Kluyveromyces lactis: one gene and its partner. The protein of the gene in region 2 binds, or shares a complex with, the protein of the main gene of each other region. Links are inferred from orthologs where the notes say so. Each region holds a gene or a part of one and is shown on either strand. Other genes may lie near its edges. The genes, in order: RDS3 and MUD1.

Region 1 (2,056 bases), on a different chromosome or scaffold from region 2:
TCTCCGGCAGCATCGATGGATGTGAAATAGAAATCGCCGGACTGCGTAATACATTTGTGGTACAAAGAAGGACATCAGTAGAAGATAAAATACTAAAGCTGAAAAGTAACCATGAACAGAATATGTCGAAATGGTATTCGCTACACTCACAGCTTAACATATACCTTGACACGGTACCCTTATCAACAAAGACTAGATCAAACTTAATCGATCATGTCAATGGTATAATAAAAAGAATAGAAATGGTCTCATATCAAAACGAAAGACTTGATATATACGTTAAACTCTTGAAGCTTGTATTTGGTCTGGAACCAAATCCAAGTGAATATAATCGATACGAAGCCAATTCCATCGAAGAGAGTTTCTTATTTAACCAATAATCAAAAAGTTTTGGCCAAGCTTCGATCTCGGAAATAGATTGAGCGATGGTTCAATGTTTTTACCGACTAAAACTTTAAAAGTATCATTCTCAGAATGCCATAAATTGGAAACGATGGAAATTAAGAATTCATGCATGTAAATATACAACACTGTATCAGCGTATGAACAGTAAAATAACAAATTATAGTTCCTTAAGATAGAAATCGATATCCTATACTCCTTTGCCGGTATCCGCCGTCTTTTTGTTATATAACCTGTCCGTCTTATTGCTACCCACATTCAAAATTCTGGGACAGCCATCTCGGCTTCGTTCAGATCTGTGGCAGTCCCAACAATATAACGCTTCATGCGTTCCAGGACTTCCGCAAATTATACACCTGCTTCCACTACTTCCAGAGGAGCAAGAGTCGCATATCCGTACCTTAGAAATTAGCCTTACATCTGAATCACATAAGGGACATCTTCCATCACATCTATCACAAACCTTCCCTACAGAGGTTCCAGGAAGTTTCATGCACATAACCAAGTCGTACTGATGGCGAGACATCTTAATCCAGTGATAATAATAGTAATATAAATAGATTAATAAGACCTGACGGTGTATGGGGAAAAACACTTAGTTTTCTGTTCTTTGTTTTAATATGTGGGTTCTTTTAGTTTTGATATCTAAGGTACAATTTTATAGAAGATGGGCTTAAGTGGCAGCCGTTGATTTAAACAGGAACTGATCTACAGGATAGGCCAAAAAAACGAAGAAAAGTAGGTTTGGAAACCGTTCATATTATATGACCCTCCGAGCAACTACATTATATATCACAAGATGATTGAAATATGTGGTATTTGTTTGGAATCTATGAATGAAACTGATCAAGGGGAGCTTTTACCCTGTGAGCATAGATATCATGTTTCTTGTATTAGGAAGTGGCACTTATATTCGAACGATTTTAAGTGTCCTACATGCAGAAAAGAGTCCAAAAGCCTTCGCCGTAAACATGATGATATCGAGATTGATTTGAAGTACTGGTGTAATGTGTCGTTGATCGAGCAGTTTGCCAAGCTTCGATTACTGAATGATGATGAGCAAGAAGCAGTAGCAGCGATAGAAGAGGAAGAGGAAGAAGAAGAAGAAGAAGAGGAAGAGGAAGAAGATCCTAATGGCAATGGTGACCAGGATACACTACAATCGGAAGAGATCGGACATCAGCCACAGAATAATAATGGCATGCAGGGAGTAGAGCTCTTGCAATGTGCCTTATGCGGTGAAATTGATGATGACATAACGTTATACTGTGAATCATGTGAGACGTTATTCCACTCTTCATGCCTGAATGAGTTATTGTGCGAAGTCGGTGAGAAAGAATGGTGTTGCATAGAGTGTGATGGTACTCTTTGTAGACTACGTGGGAACAAAGTATCTTCAATGGTAATACGAGATTCGAACGTGAGAATTTACGATGGAAGGATGAGAGATAAGCGAAGTATTCTTACTGAATGCATTTACAATAGATTCGCACAACCTTACACCATCAGTTACGAGGACAAATGCAGGATACAAGGATACGTACGAACAGAGTTGGATAAATTCTACCACCGCGGATCTTTATCGAAGGATCGATACATCGCCATAAACAAAATGGTGTCACGGAAGTTATATGGGTTATCTTCAACTGGGTTC
Region 2 (2,881 bases):
CCTCTAACTTCATCAAGAAGGTCGGTTACAACCCAAAGACTGTTCCATTCGTCCCAATCTCTGGTTGGAACGGTGACAACATGATTGAAGCCACCACCAATGCTTCATGGTACAAGGGTTGGGAAAAGGAAACCAAGTCCGGTGTCGTCAAGGGTAAGACCTTGTTGGAAGCTATTGACGCTATCGAACCACCATCCAGACCAACTGACAAGCCATTGAGATTGCCATTGCAAGATGTCTACAAGATTGGTGGTATCGGAACTGTGCCAGTCGGTAGAGTCGAAACCGGTGTTATCAAGCCAGGTATGATTGTTACCTTCGCCCCAGCCGGTGTTACTACTGAAGTTAAGTCCGTCGAAATGCACCACGAACAATTGGAAGAAGGTCTACCAGGTGACAACGTCGGTTTCAACGTCAAGAACGTTTCCGTTAAGGAAATCAGAAGAGGTAACGTCTGTGGTGACTCCAAGAACGATCCACCAAAGGCTGCTGCTTCTTTCAACGCCACTGTTATCGTCTTGAACCATCCAGGTCAAATCTCTGCTGGTTACTCTCCAGTTTTGGATTGTCACACTGCTCACATTGCTTGTAAGTTCGACGAATTGTTGGAAAAGAACGACAGAAGATCCGGTAAGAAGTTGGAAGACTCTCCAAAGTTCTTGAAGTCCGGTGATGCTGCTTTGGTTAAGTTCGTTCCATCTAAGCCAATGTGTGTTGAAGCCTTCTCTGACTACCCACCTCTAGGTAGATTCGCTGTCAGAGACATGAGACAAACCGTCGCTGTCGGTGTTATCAAGTCCGTTGACAAGACTGACAAGGCCGGTAAGGTCACCAAGGCCGCTGTCAAGGCTGGTAAGAAATAAGTTTAACTTGATACTACTAGATTTTTTCTCTTCATTTATAAAATTTTTGGTTATAATTGAAGCTTTAGAAGTATGAAAAAATCCTTTTTTTTCATTCTTTGCAACCAAAATAAGAAGCTTCTTTTATTCATTGAAATGATGAATATAAACCTAACAAAAGAAAAAGACTCGAATATCAAACATTAAAAAAAAATAAAAGAGGTTATCTGTTTTCCCATTTAGTTGGAGTTTGCATTTTCTAATAGATAGAACTCTCAATTAATGTGGATTTAGTTTCTCTGTTCGTTTTTTTTTGTTTTGTTCTCACTGTATTTACATTTCTATTTAGTATTTAGTTATTCATATAATCTTAACTTAACGTAACAACAACTTTCATTGTCAACAAATTTACTAATACTAATACGTATGGACTATTTGTTAATAGGTTGTGATATCCTTCTCTATTAGGTTATTACACATGCCATACAAAGCTAGTATCTATCGGCAAGCAATGGTCAGTACCTTATATCTGTCGAATCTACCGTCGAGGCCCGACTCATTGTCCAAATTCAGAGCCTTACTACTATCAAGTGTTAATTCAGATCATCGTTCTATTTCAAATGATGTTAGTACAAGATTCGATCTGAACTCGAAGAAAGAAACTAGTGAGGCTGATGCGGTTACACCAGTACTCGATGAAAAGTATCAGATCATAGAGGTATCAAGGTATGGCTCAAGACCCTTGAGGAGGTCTTGTTTCGTCACTTTTAAGGACTCAGACAGTTGTAATACGTTCCTTATAGAATTTCAAGGCAAGCTCAAGATTAATGGGAGAAAGATAAATATAAAGCTGGCGAATACGGATTCTTTCGCAGCTTTGTACTACCAGGGACAACAGAAACAGCTACAGGATGAACTTCGGTTACGTACACGTAAAGCTGTGGATAATTCACAGCCCAAGACCAAGACAAAAAACGAAGTGTTGAAAAGAAGGTTAAGAAGAGCTAGAAGTAAGCTTAGAAAGAAGGATTTGGACGAAGAAACCATACAGAAGCTTCTTTCAAAGCCCAGAAAAACAAATCCTGAAGGTACCAACAAGACTGCTATGTCACAGCAGTCGGAGAAAGTTTCCTCCACTAAAAAAGTCTTTGACATTGTCGGAAATCCCCCTCACCATGTCCTATTGGTTCAAAATCTTCCAAAAGATGTTACTCAGCAAGAATTGGAAAAGTTATTTGTCTCAGATGGATTTAAAGAGGTTAGATTGGTCAGTGTCAGAAATCTTTGCTTTGTTGAATATGATTCTACAGCAAATGCCACTAAAGTTGTTGAAACCTTAGGTCATGATCATCCATTCAAGAATGTAACGATAAAGATTGGATACGCCAAGAAATGATTCTACATTTCAATGCGAATCAATAAATTCAAAGCGTTCACAGGTCGGAACTGGAACCAACAATCTACGCTTTAATAGTACATTTATCAGCAACAGATAAACAGAATAAATAGAATAGATTGAATATAAATTATTTACAGTCAGTGTATGGAGGCCTGTACAGTACAGATACACTAGAAACGAAAAAGACAGAAATGATATATACATATATGCATACGAAGCTCTAAAACCCTGAAACCGAAATTACTTACCAAATACGACAGTTCTCATAGCTGTAAAGAAAGTTTCCTTACCCTTACCTTCGATTTCGTCATGCAATCTTTTGTAATAAATTGGGTTACCTGCTGGCTTGTATAATTTGTCCCCTACAGCATAATAATTCTTATATTTATCGCTCATTATAGCATTCAACGATCTTATCTGTTCTTGGATTTGAGTATCGTTGAAATGTTCTTCTGGTAAAGCCTCTTGAACTTTCTTTAATAGATCTTTCTTCAAACCTAATGGGCCAGAAGTTCTGTTGATAATATCCTTAATCTCTGCAAGAGAAGGCTTACTTTGCTCAGAGGCACTACCGGTTTCTATTCCGGCAACTGGACGGAACCTATCTAGTTGTGACTCTTTGAATGAAATGAGATGCTTA

What was found.
Region 1: MUD1 (region 2) and RDS3 share a complex: the UniProt entries of both Saccharomyces cerevisiae proteins name them as parts of the spliceosome. The link is inferred for Kluyveromyces lactis from reciprocal best matches to the Saccharomyces cerevisiae genes MUD1 and RDS3.

Annotation. Positions count from the first base shown.
Region 1 is NC_006039.1:1,359,088-1,361,143, forward strand, and holds RDS3 (U2 snRNP complex subunit RDS3), read right to left. Parts: upstream 929-2,056; coding exon 593-928; downstream 1-592. Other genes in the region: Arf family guanine nucleotide exchange factor SYT1, read left to right, coding at 1-380; ubiquitin-protein ligase ASR1, read left to right, coding at 1,202-2,056. UniProt on the Saccharomyces cerevisiae protein: Required for pre-mRNA splicing. Involved in regulation of drug sensitivity and may play a role in multidrug resistance.
Region 2 is NC_006038.1:785,479-788,359, reverse strand, and holds MUD1 (Mud1p), read left to right. Parts: upstream 1-1,320; coding exon 1,321-2,238; downstream 2,239-2,881. Other genes in the region: TEF2 (translation elongation factor EF-1 alpha), read left to right, coding at 1-863; CBP6 (Cbp6p), read right to left, coding at 2,482-2,881. UniProt on the Saccharomyces cerevisiae protein: Involved in nuclear mRNA splicing. The principal role of the U1A is to help fold or maintain U1 RNA in an active configuration. It is the first snRNP to interact with pre-mRNA.